2 linked regions of the Danio rerio genome follow. The protein of the gene in region 1 purifies or fractionates together with the protein of each later gene. This does not show direct contact. Links are inferred from orthologs where the notes say so. Each region holds a gene or a part of one and is shown in the gene's direction. Other genes may lie near its edges.

What was found. The genes of interacting proteins can lie anywhere in the genome.
Region 2: the proteins of traf7 (region 1) and map3k3 purify together in Homo sapiens (affinity purification with mass spectrometry; 5 studies listed by BioGRID and IntAct, with this or other methods). This does not show direct contact. The link is inferred for Danio rerio from reciprocal best matches to the Homo sapiens genes TRAF7 and MAP3K3.

The regions. Positions count from the first base shown.
Region 1 is NC_133178.1:34,478,258-34,484,395, forward strand, and holds part of traf7 (E3 ubiquitin-protein ligase TRAF7), read left to right. Parts: intron 1-1,434; coding exon 1,435-1,618; intron 1,619-1,721; coding exon 1,722-1,856; intron 1,857-1,961; coding exon 1,962-2,179; intron 2,180-2,276; coding exon 2,277-2,350; intron 2,351-2,436; coding exon 2,437-2,485; intron 2,486-3,351; coding exon 3,352-3,479; intron 3,480-3,559; coding exon 3,560-3,642; intron 3,643-5,406; coding exon 5,407-5,446; intron 5,447-5,532; coding exon 5,533-5,649; intron 5,650-6,138. UniProt on the Homo sapiens protein: E3 ubiquitin and SUMO-protein ligase that plays a role in different biological processes such as innate immunity, inflammation or apoptosis. Potentiates MAP3K3-mediated activation of JUN/AP1 and DDIT3 transcriptional regulators.
Region 2 is NC_133178.1:30,611,430-30,617,567, reverse strand, and holds part of map3k3 (mitogen-activated protein kinase kinase kinase 3), read left to right. Parts: intron 1-92; coding exon 93-160; intron 161-245; coding exon 246-341; intron 342-1,351; coding exon 1,352-1,513; intron 1,514-2,626; coding exon 2,627-2,775; intron 2,776-3,753; coding exon 3,754-3,885; intron 3,886-4,180; coding exon 4,181-4,310; intron 4,311-6,138. UniProt on the Homo sapiens protein: Component of a protein kinase signal transduction cascade. Mediates activation of the NF-kappa-B, AP1 and DDIT3 transcriptional regulators.

The DNA.
Region 1 (6,138 bases):
TGATGGGAATTGTAGTTTCCGCTACCTCCTGTTCGCTTCATTCGCCTGAGCAAATTTTCTCAGAAGACCTATAGTTTTATCGAGTCATGCAACTACGGTAATATCGAAAAAAATTGCTATTGCGGTATGATGATATTTACAATACCGTTACATCCCTAATAATAGTTAATCCAACATTTATAACAATTGCAGAGATATCGCCTTTCGCGTCATTCAAATCACGTGCATCTAAGCATTTTGGCTTCCCTACAAAATACAATGATGACGGAAAAGTTAGTTGTGGGACTAACCTAATTGCATACTTAGGTTAATAATTAAAGGTGTTTGTTTGTTTGTTTAGCTTGCATGAATGCATTCAGTGTAAAGCTACACATAAATATTAAAAGATCAAGGTCTCAATTCAAACCCACACAACATGAATGAAAACTAATAATGATTTGCATATGCTTTTCAATCCCTCGAAAGCGCTGCATTCAAATCTGCATTTGATCAAGAGAGATTCAGTTTTTACACTTTAGTTACAAACAATTAAATCACTCAAGTCCTGGAATAACAGTTTACAGCTCAGATATGAACACTGTTTATGGTAAAGATTAAAATCCCTGCTTAATAGAACTTGACGCTGGAGAATGTTGTAGCACTTACATTGTGTATCCAATGGGTGGCGACAAAAAAAACATCAATATTATGTAATTCAATAGGTTTTCAACAATGCTCCACCCATAATGAAACATAAATTTTTATGTGTGAATTGTTGAATCATTTATTGAAAATAAACATGATCTGTTGTACAAGATGTTGAATTTCTATATTTATTAATATCAGCAACAGTAGCAACGGTCATTTTTCGTATTGAATATATATATATTTTTTTCCAGCTGGTTCTTTCTTTATTTTTATTTTTATTAAAATGACAGGTTTTAAGTTATGTTTGCTAAAACCAATAGTTTTTTCCATAATATTTCTATATAAATTAATGCATGGAAAACAATTGACATTTGTCATCTCCTTTTTTTGCTGATCTGAAAAATGGTCCAATCAGTGACTCAAAAACCATTGTATGATACGAACCAAAAGATCTGAGATCAGTTACACCACTAATATATATTTATATACATATATGTGTGTGTGTGAATTATTATGTATATTTATCTTTTTTTTTATTTAACAATGCTTGTAATGATTTCAAGCTACAACAAAAAAACATGAATAAGAAGATAGGATCTGAATATGTTCAGACACACATTTGACTATTTGTGGTTTCAAAAAGTGCTGTCACTGACAGGAGTGGCTAATTGCAGGTTTCTATCTCTGTTCCTCTTTCATTTCCTGTCCATTCTGAATGCTTCTTTTCATGCTGTTAGTTTGAGTCATGTTATCAATATAACATTAGTCTTTCCTTTATTTTCTCCCCAATATCCTATGCTTCTACAGAGAAATGCCCGGTGGACAATTCGAAGCTCACAGTGGTAGTGAATAACATAGCTGTGGCTGAGCAAATCGGAGAGCTTTTCATCCACTGCAAGTACGGCTGTCGTCCAGCTGCCTCGGGCAAGTCTGGTGCCTATGAGGTTGACCCACTTGGCTGTCCTTTTACCATCAAGCTCAGCACCAGAAAGTGAGTACACAGGTTCACTGGCTTTTGCAATAGCGGCGTTTGATTGCAACATCCGCGTGAGTCAGTGAAAGGGAGTGTAATAACTCTGGAATGTGTTTGACAGAGATCATGAAGTAAGCTGTGACTACAGACCCGTTCGCTGTCCCAACAACCCCAACTGCCCTCCATTGCTCACTATGAACTTAGAGGCCCATCTGAAAGAATGTGAACACATCAAGTGCCCTCATTCTAAATATGGGTATGCATATTTAGAAAAGCTCCTATTGATTGCTACCATACATATGAAACCAAATACAAAATATAAAGCAACCTCAAATTCACCTACGCTGGATTTTTCTTCCAGTTGCACCTTCATCGGGAATCAGGACACATACGAGACTCACCTGGAGGTTTGTAAGTTTGAGGGACTAAAGGAGTTTCTCCAGCAGACGGATGACAGATTCCATGAGATGCAGGTGACACTGGCGCAGAAGGACCAGGACATTTCGTTCCTGCGCTCAATGCTTGGTAAACTCTCAGAGAAGCTGGACCAGCTGGAGAAAAACTTGGAACTCAAGTTCGGTGAGGACATGGAGCTAACTCTTAGCCGCTTGTTGTTTGTAAGCCAAAATGTGCATTAGTGTTCAATTTGCTGGTCTTTTTTGTGCTAATGTGGCAGATGTGCTGGATGAGAATCAGAGCAAGCTCAGTGAAGATCTGATGGAGTTCAGGCGAGATGCTTCCATGCTAAACGTAGGTCTATTTTCGATCTGGGTTTTAGCAAAATAAGATGTACAGCTGCTTTGTATTAGCTTTCTAACACTTCTCTCCTTTTGCAGGATGAACTGTCTCACATCAATGCCAGGCTCAATATGGGCATACTGGGCTGTAAGTGTCCTCATTTTCTCCTTTTTATTCTCAGTTTCTGTGAATATGTTGAACAGGGTTCCCTCGGGCCATGGACTTTAAAAAAGGGCCATTTTAGTCAGGGAATTTTATGTTTGTTTTTTCCAAGTCAGGAAATAGCAGGGATTTTTTTGATTGTCTTGAAGTTTGCATCTTGTTTAGCAAAATTTTTTTTTTTTTTAATAATGTGTTTCTACCTTGTGTTAAGGTTAGGCTACTTTTCACTGTCATTTTAGTCCTCCCCCCTTGGCAGGCAACAAATGCAATCACCAGGCTGTAGCTGTTAAAATACTGTCAGTGGGTGTTTTTTTGTTTGTCTACTCAGTGCTGAACGCGTCCCTCTTGAATTTTGTGTAAAAAAAAAATCTGATTTTTGCAGCCTAAAATTGCTGATATTGCTTTGACTTTTCTCAATTTGCGGCAGTATTTACACCCTTTTTTGTGTTGTTTTGCTGTAAAAAGCTGTTCAAATTTGAACATTTTTATTTTTTACACCTTATTTTAACCTCATGAACCACTGTTGACAGCTTAAGGTATCACACAGCACATGAGCACTTTCCATGCATGAAAAGAGTGTTATTCAATAAAAAACAATGCAGATGGTGTGGAAATCTGCATAAATAAAAAAAAAAATAAAATTGCAGGCAGCTCTAAATTTTGCTTTATTTGCTTGATTTTGCCTTCAATTCAGCAATCGCAGAACAACACAATTCTGGAGGCACTACCAAGCATGACTGCGGCCTGTTTTTCTATTTATATGTGCTTTTTAGTCAGTGAAAGTCAGGGAATTTGACATTGGGTTTAGAGCAGGAACCCTAATCGTCTGACTCTTATGAATTGTTTTGCAGCCTACGACCCCCAGCAGATCTTCAAATGTAAGGGTACTTTTGTGGGCCATCAGGGTCCGGTGTGGTGCCTGTGTGTTTATTCGACAGGCGATCTACTTTTTAGTGGGTCATCAGACAAATCCATCAAGGTAATTTCACCTGCTGTCTTTGGTTGGTGTGTAACCTTCTTTTTACAGATAAATCATCTGTACATCTGTGCTCTACGCAGGTTTGGGACACGTGCACCACATACAAATGCCAGAAGACTCTCGAAGGCCATGATGGCATAGTGTTGGCATTGTGCATTCAGGGGTAAGCTTTTTAAATTAAGACTTTAGTGAGTTCCTTTGCGTTTGATTTGAGACACTTGCAGGTCCGAAAGAAGTATGGAAAATTAAATCAAAGCATTTCATTTTCGTTTCCATACTGTTATTTACAGTTTACTAAATTGAGAAACATTCTAATTATGGTTATTGTACAATTGGGCTGTTTGATAAATCAAAATCAAATCGCAACTTGAAACGTTACGATTAGTAAATCGCAAGAGGCTGCAATATGAAATATCTATGTATTTCTTTTCTCCCACCCAGAGCAAATGTGTGACTGCTGTTTGTGTGTGACAGTCTTACTAGCTAACTGAGTGAGCACACTTTTGTTTTGCCTAGTCAGAATTGTGCAACCGAACATCCACAAAAAAAAAACAACAGGAAAGCGTGAGCAAGTGGGATAATGGCGTCTGCTGCTTCAGAAGCATTAATAGACAAATTACAATCAAAAAAGATAAACAGCATTGGTAATATGGGAATATTTTGGTTTCTAAGTCACAGACACCGAACAAAAATAGGTCATTTTTAAAAGTTGTCGAAGAATTGTTGCCACGGCTTACAGATTATTGAGCTGAAGCTTGACTACAAAATTAAATGAAAATCACAATATCTGTCAAAAAATTGCAATTAAATATCTTGCCCAAATCGCGCAGACCTATTGCACAATAATATTCATAATAGCATAATATGGAGGAGCAGGCTGACAGTTTTGCCAAAAGATTACTTTGGATCTGCTGGAGGGACTAGTTGATCTAGCCTTTAAATGACAATCCGTATAGCTGAAAGTCTTTAACGAATGTTCATCGGGTGCATTCACAAAGTGCTTTTGCATTTTAACAATTTCATAGCTTTGTTTCTCTCCATTTCATTGCTATTTTATATTTACTGTTATCTTTAAAATTTCAAAGTGTTTTAGTGTTATAAATTAAAGTTGTGTATTCCCAATTCACGAAATGTATAAATTTGGCTTCCTGGGCTATAAATGAACATCTGCATGGCGGTCAATTAAGCAAAAACTTGTGTAGGTCAGAGGTTGTGTATTCTATGGCTGTGCAGGTCAGACCTACTTGGAATACGACATGTCTATTAGCAGTTTAGTTTTAAAAACGTTTATCAGATGTTAATTATGGACAAATATCCGTAGAAAAGTTTTTTTTTTATTTATTTATTTATTTATTTTTTACTGGGTCTGATTCATCAGTGCAGATTGTTAGTGAGAGATGTGTTTCATTCTTACATTGAAGCCTGAGTTCTACTGAAAAAGTCAAATCAGTGTATTATAGGTAATGGCCTAAATTAACAGTCATCAAGTTCAAAATAAACATTGAGGTTGACAAGTATAAGAAGTATATGAAATGTTAACAAGTGTTATGCACAATTTGGCCTTTAAGAAAAATGACTATTGTTCCGAACCAGCTTTACAAATTAAAATAATCATATAAATATGTAATCTGATGCACTGCACTGATTTTTATGTGGACATAACCATGTTTTACGAATGACACACAGTCACATCCATTTTGTGCATTTTAAAAAGCACCAAACAAAAAGCTGTATGCTTTTATTTTGAAAGCACTGAAAAAACAATTATGAAGTGTAGTTTTAGGCTCTGGTTACAGCTCTAATAAAAATATACAATATTTAAAAAGAATTTAACAAAGTAAAAACGGTTGCAAATGTCATGTTCATGTTGTCTTTAAATGGACAAGGGAACTTACAAATTCTTGCACATTTTTTTTTGTTTCTGCAGGAACAAGCTGTATAGTGGCTCAGCTGATTGTACAATCATTGTGAGTGTCCCTGAAGTGCATTTAAAAGAGGAATCAAACTACTGATTCGGACAGTAACTAATACACATTCACTTGCTCTTCCTCAGGTTTGGGATATCCAGACCCTTCAGAAAGTGAACACCATCCGGGCACACGATAACCCTGTGTGCACTCTAGTGTCCTCACACAACATGCTCTTCAGCGGCTCTCTCAAAGCCATTAAGGTCAGTATCGTCTGTTGTAGAGATGATGTGCGCGTCTGCAAACACATGCCCAATCAAGCAGCTAATGTCAAGCTTCATTCTGCCCCATTTGGTGATGTGCATGTTGGCTCTATAAACCTCTTTTGTGTGAAATTTGGCTGACAATTAATTGTCTAAGAAGTAATTGCAGTTACAGACAATAATTGTATATTTTGGAAATATGCTTTTCATATAACTAGCTAATTCAAGAATTTTTTATATATATATATATATATATATATATATATATATATATATATATATATATATATATATATATATATATATATATAAATTATTTATTTATATATATATGTGTGTGTATGTATGTATATATATGTAAGTATATATATATATATATATATATATATATATATATATATAAATTATTTATTTATATATATGTGTGTGTATGTATGTATATATATGTATGTGTGTATATATATATATATATATATATATATATATATA
Region 2 (6,138 bases), about 3.9 Mb from region 1:
TCCTGAGACTACAAAAAAATGAATGATGAAATATTCTGCAATAGTAATCACCTGTTGCAGTGTTATTTTGCACTTATTGTTTTGTTTTGTAGTCCCTCTCTCAGGAAATCTCGAACACACAGGATTAAGAGTTATCCTGACAACCGACAAGACTGCTCAGGTGCATTTCATATCAGTTGCTTTCCCGCTTAAGTTTTACAAATGAGCTGTTCCACTGACTTACATTTCCCATTCTTGTGTTTTAGACCGGGAAAACCATGTTTATGATAAGATTGTTGGCAAAGGAGGGACGTACCCTCGCAGGTATCATGTGTCGATGCATCATAAAGATCACAGTGAAGGTATGACACTCTACATTAGTGGTTCTCAACCTTTTTCCCTTCGAGGCCCACCTCCCTCTCTGATTTTTTTTTAAGGCCCAAACTGATTGTCTAAGGAAAATGCTTATTTTAAAGCTTTATTTATTAGCAAAACATTTCATTTGCCTTCTATTATTCTTTTATTATTCTACATCATTTTATTAAAAAAAAACTAACAATATGTATTTCAATATTTGGAAAAAAACACAACTGCAGAGTATTTGGGTATTTCTTCAAAAAGTGAACCTGACAGGACTACAGGAGATGGCAAAAACAGCTGCTGCTTTGAATTAGACTGACTACTATTCATCTATTGGTCTACTATTCATATCCATTAAAAACAAAAGAAAAACAACGCAAAAACACTCTAAATCTGTTAAAACACATCGATCTGAGGGCGGTTTGGTTTGTTGCTGAACATTATTGGAGTTCGCTGACAGAAACAGAGAACAGATGTTCACTAAAACACAAAGTCTCACGTGTCCATTGTAAATCACTGGCAGGACATTAATTTGGACAACTATGCGCATATTTTAAAGAGCTTAACTGCAGGATTGATGAGGCCCACTAGTGGGCCGCGGCCCACCGGTTGGGAATCCCTGCTCTACATTACACTACATTTTTGTTGTACACATTATTAGTACACAGCCGGGTCTCTCTCGAGTTTTTTTCCTTCACTTTCGTCAATTGGTGAAGTTTGTTCTTTGCTATTGTTGCCACTAGCTTGCTTAATTAGGGACTTGTACAGCTGCGCATCGAAGGATTTGCTCTTCAGTGTTTCGACTTTCAGCAATGAAAATTAAACCACACTGACCTAAACTAAACTGAACTTCAACTCTGAAAACTGAACTGACACAGTTTCAGTTTACTAGAACTTATGATGTTAAGTTTCTTTGACACAATCTACATTGTAAAAGCGCTATAGAAATAAAGATGAATTGAATTGATTGAATTACTGTCTTACACCTAATACAAATATTGTTGCTCCTCAGGTCGACGGACATTCCCACGAATACGTCGTCCGCAAGGAAATTTGTTCACGTTGGTGCCATCACGGCGATCTCTGAACGGCAGCGAGGAGAGTTTGGGCAGCTGGCAGCTGGAGAATACTCAGTCCAGACTTCGTCCACAGGACCGGGCAGTCCCTCATAAGTGTGAGTGTTTTGTAATATATGATCTTATTGAGGGGTGACCCAGTGGCACAGCAGGTATTGCTGTCGCCTCACAGCAAGAAGGTCGCTGGTTCGAGCCTCTGCTGGATCAGTTAGCGTTTCTGTGTGGAGTTTGCACGTTCTCCCTGCGTTCGTGTGGGTTTCCTCCGGTTTCCCCCATAGTCCAAAGACATGCGGTGCAGGTGAATTGGGTAGGCTAAATTGTCCGTAGTATATGAGTGTGAATGAGTGTGGATGGATGTTTCCCAGAGATGGGTTGCAGTTGAAAGGGCATCCGCTGTGTAAAACAAAAAGTTGGCAGTTCATTCCGCTGTGGCGACCCCAGATTAATAAAGGGACTAAGCCAACAAGAAAATAAATGACTGAATGATCTTATTGACCTTATGCTTTCACATAAGAGCAGCTACAGCCATTAGTACATTTATTGGTTCAAGATTTTATTTTTATTTTATGTTGCAAACTTTTAATTCATTTGTTGTATGTTTTCACCTGCCTCCTTTTGCTAACATGAACAGTATTTTAATTTAACATTTTTTTACAATTTATTGTAAGATTGCATTTGCACACATATTGCAAAATGGTCAATGGAAAATTATAAACTTGAGCGACAAGGCAGTACTGACAATACTGTGCATCTCTCACACATCTTTATTGCCAAACCCTGATTACTGTAATCAATGTATTTTGGGACACCACATATAATCGCTAATATATGAAACTTTACATTTTTTATTTTGTTCATGCAACATATATCACGTGTCAAACTCGTTTTGCACAGTTTGGCTTTAACACCTGATCAAACTAATGGAGTCCTTCAGGCTTGTTTTAAACCCCTAGGTAAGTGTATTGAAGGAAGGTTGGAAATAGTTTGTGCTGGGCTGCTGAGTTTGGCACCCCTAAGATATGTATTATCATATTCCTAGTTGGAAATTCTAAAACTATTGCAGAATAGAGCTTACTTTTGCATTGCAAAATAAGGTCAATAGAAACGGTTTAAAAAGTTTTGAGAATGTGCCCATGTATGCTTTTGAGTGAAACTGTCAATTACTTTGTCGTTCAGCCAATCATTGTGTATTTATATGTGCATATGTGTAGCCCCTACAGCTCCAGTGACGTGGCGCAGAGGGAAGTTGCTGGGTCAGGGTGCTTTTGGAAGGGTTTATCTGTGCTATGATGTGGATACGGGCAGAGAACTTGCAGCAAAACAGGTTCATTTTGACCCTGCCAGTCCAGAGACCAGCAAGGTACATGTTTTTTTTTTTTTTGTCGTATTTATTTAATCATGCTTTTATTTATACTTTTATTATTTATTTATTTATGCATTTATTTATTTGTTTATTTATTTATTCATGCATTTATTTTTTACATTTTTTTATTTATTTATACATTTTTTATCAGTGCATTCATTTTTTATTAATTGTTTATTTATTTATGCATTTATATCTTTACTTTTATGCATTTATATATTTATTTATTTATGCATTTATATTTTTACTTGTTTATTTATTTATTCTTGCATTTTTTTATTTGTTTATTTATGCATCATTTTTTACTTATTAATTTATGCATTTATAATTTTTTTTACTTATTTTTAATTATTCATTTATTTATTTATTTATGCATTTATTTGTAGATTTATTTATTTGTTTTTCTTTTTATTTATTATGAATGAGATTCATAATACTAAAAGAATTAAAGTTTTCATTTTATTTCTTTTATTGTTCTTTTTCTTTTCTTTCTCTTTTTTTTCTTTTAATTTTCTTTCCTTTGTTGTTTTTCTCTGAGATTACCAGCATGTTTTTTTCTCCCCCCTGATTTATCTTTCTTTCTTGAACTTCTCCCCCTCTCTTCAAATCCTTTCCTGTCTGCCATTGCAAAAACATGCACTCTCGCTTCCTGTATCTGTGTGTGATTGTGTATTTGGTTCAGAGGGGGTTTGAGGCGAGGGGAAGCGGGGTAGTCTAACAAAGCATTTCTCATTGATCATGCCCCCAATTGACACACAAACACACACACAGACATGCACAAAAGCAAAAAGCACCTCCTGGATGTTCAATCTCTCTTATCTACATGTTAACAGTTTGGCATTAGTGTGTTGTGGTTTGTGTGTTTTTAGTTGATCTTCCACCTTCATGCACAGTCATCTCCCTCATAGCCCCCTCTGGTCATAGCTGCTCTGCTCAGCTGTGGTCGTGTCATGACTCTTGCCCCTCTTTCTGCAGGAGGTGAGTGCTTTAGAGTGTGAGATACAGCTGTTGAAAAACCTGCATCATGAACGAATCGTCCAGTACTACGGCTGCCTTAGAGACCACAATGAGAAGACGCTTACCATTTTCATGGAGTATATGCCCGGGGTGAGTTTGATAAAAGAACCACATTTATTAAGCGTTTGGAAATCAATTAGGACGAGTCGTTGTTGGAAAAAAAAAATCTATGGAAACTACTACTATAGTGTTCCTGAGGAAAAATTAACCATATACATCTTTGAATGTGGGTGAGTATGCAATGACATAGTTTCCTTTTTTGGTGCACTGTAGCTGTAATGCCAGATCTCTTTATTGTATGGGTTGAAATGTGTCACGGAACACCTGTTTAATAACAATACGGCTGTTGTGATATAGAGTTCAGTGTGATCTTTCCACCCCTCAGGGTTCAGTCAAAGACCAGCTGAAGGCTTATGGGGCTTTGACGGAGAATGTGACACGCAAATATACCAGACAGATTCTGGAAGGCATGTCCTACCTGCACAGCAACATGATCGTCCACAGGGACATCAAAGGTTTGTAGTCTGTGTGTTGTGTGTGTGTGTGTGCGTGAGTGTTTTAGTAGTACAACAATACAGACTTCTCATGGTTTCTGGGTCACGATTTTGGCACGATTTTCGGTTTATATGTCCAGTAAGACAAAACAATATAGCAAAGATAATACTAAAATAAGCAATGCTTTCAGGCTTTTCATGTATCTAGCAATAGTTTTCAGTTATATAAACGAATAAATATCATATCACAGATTCATGGAATTGATTCTTACCTCCAGCATAATCAAGCTTTTAAGCTTACTGAAATGTTTTTGACAATAGCTCAACAATGTATTGCTTTAAAATAGAAAACAGACATTGATGTACTAATTGGACTGTGGATCTCAAAAGTGCACCTCAACTGTATACCATTGGAGAAGATCACATATTCTTTGAGAGGAAAGGGGAATTATTAAAAAATAATTGGAATCCATTTTGAATTATATTAAAGCTGTACCACATGATTTAATATGACAAAATAGTTTTCTCCATTGGTTTAAACTGTATATCCTCCGTTTGTTTATTTATTTATTTATTTGTTTTATGTACTGTGTGTATGGTTTACTTTAGTTTGTTTGTTGCTTAATTTCAATGTTCTGTATTGTTAAGTTTTGAAAAAGCTAAATAAAAATCTATATTTCTAAGAAAAATCTAATAAAAAATAACACTGCATACTATATCTTCAGTGTAAAAATTAAATAAAGGTTAACCATTATGGATCTAGAGTAGCCTATCCAGCTATTTAGTCGAGAGCAGATTGATTCATTTAAATTATCTTTTGTTGTTTGATTAATATATATGAAAAACTGATAACAGGAATAAGATGTTTTAACTTTAAGATGCGACACAGCACAATGTGAAAGTTACAGTCATTTCAAAACATAACTGATTGAATGCTCGTCAAGTCAGACAGATGGAAATAATTATTGTTGAAATTGAGTTTTACCATTGTGAAGCAAGACTTAATTTGCACATCATAAATTTCATTCACTTGTACTAATGAGGTACTTCTAAGATCTCCTGCATGTCAGGCAATTTCTGGTTCTGGACCCACCTGTGCTCGCATGCTGACATGCGGCATGTCTCACTATAATATTCACTGATGGGACATTTACTTGTGTTGAGCCTGAACATGAATTCTAACTTGCACAGAGCCAGTTCAGAGAGCAGTGTTTTTCCAGCTGTGGCGGCAGGTCTTTTACACAAATTTATCAACCACCTATGGCGTTATTTCAATGACAAATGGAGAAATGTTGTGAGCGCATTTATGTAATACGAGCATGCGAATCTCTTTGCTTGCGGACCGATTTCCTCTCCTTATGCACAAAACTTCTTGCACGCCGCCTCAAATATACGCTGCTCAAGCTCAGATCTTCTTGTGCACTCTCAAATAAACGCTTCTGAAGTGCGATTTAGTGCGCTTATGTAACAATTATGTCTCCAACATTTATAAGATTTGCTTGGGATATTTATAAGATTCTCCAATAGACCCACAAAGCGGCATTAATGCTTCCTGAAGTAAAGTGAAACCGAAATAAACTCCGGCAAGATAAAGTCATTGTATGCAGAACCATAGACTTTTATCTATAAATGAAGTATAATTATGGAAACTGTTCTTATCATAACTGAAGGCTACGTCGTGTTTGCTTGCCTCACGCATCATGCACGCACACCATGGAAGAACGTATTTAGCGGAAACCATGAAGAGTAATTAAAGGAAGATGGAAAATGCTAATTTTGCAATAAATTTTAACAGATATTTTAATGCAAAACCAAAAAAGCACAATTTCGATATGCATATGATCTGTGG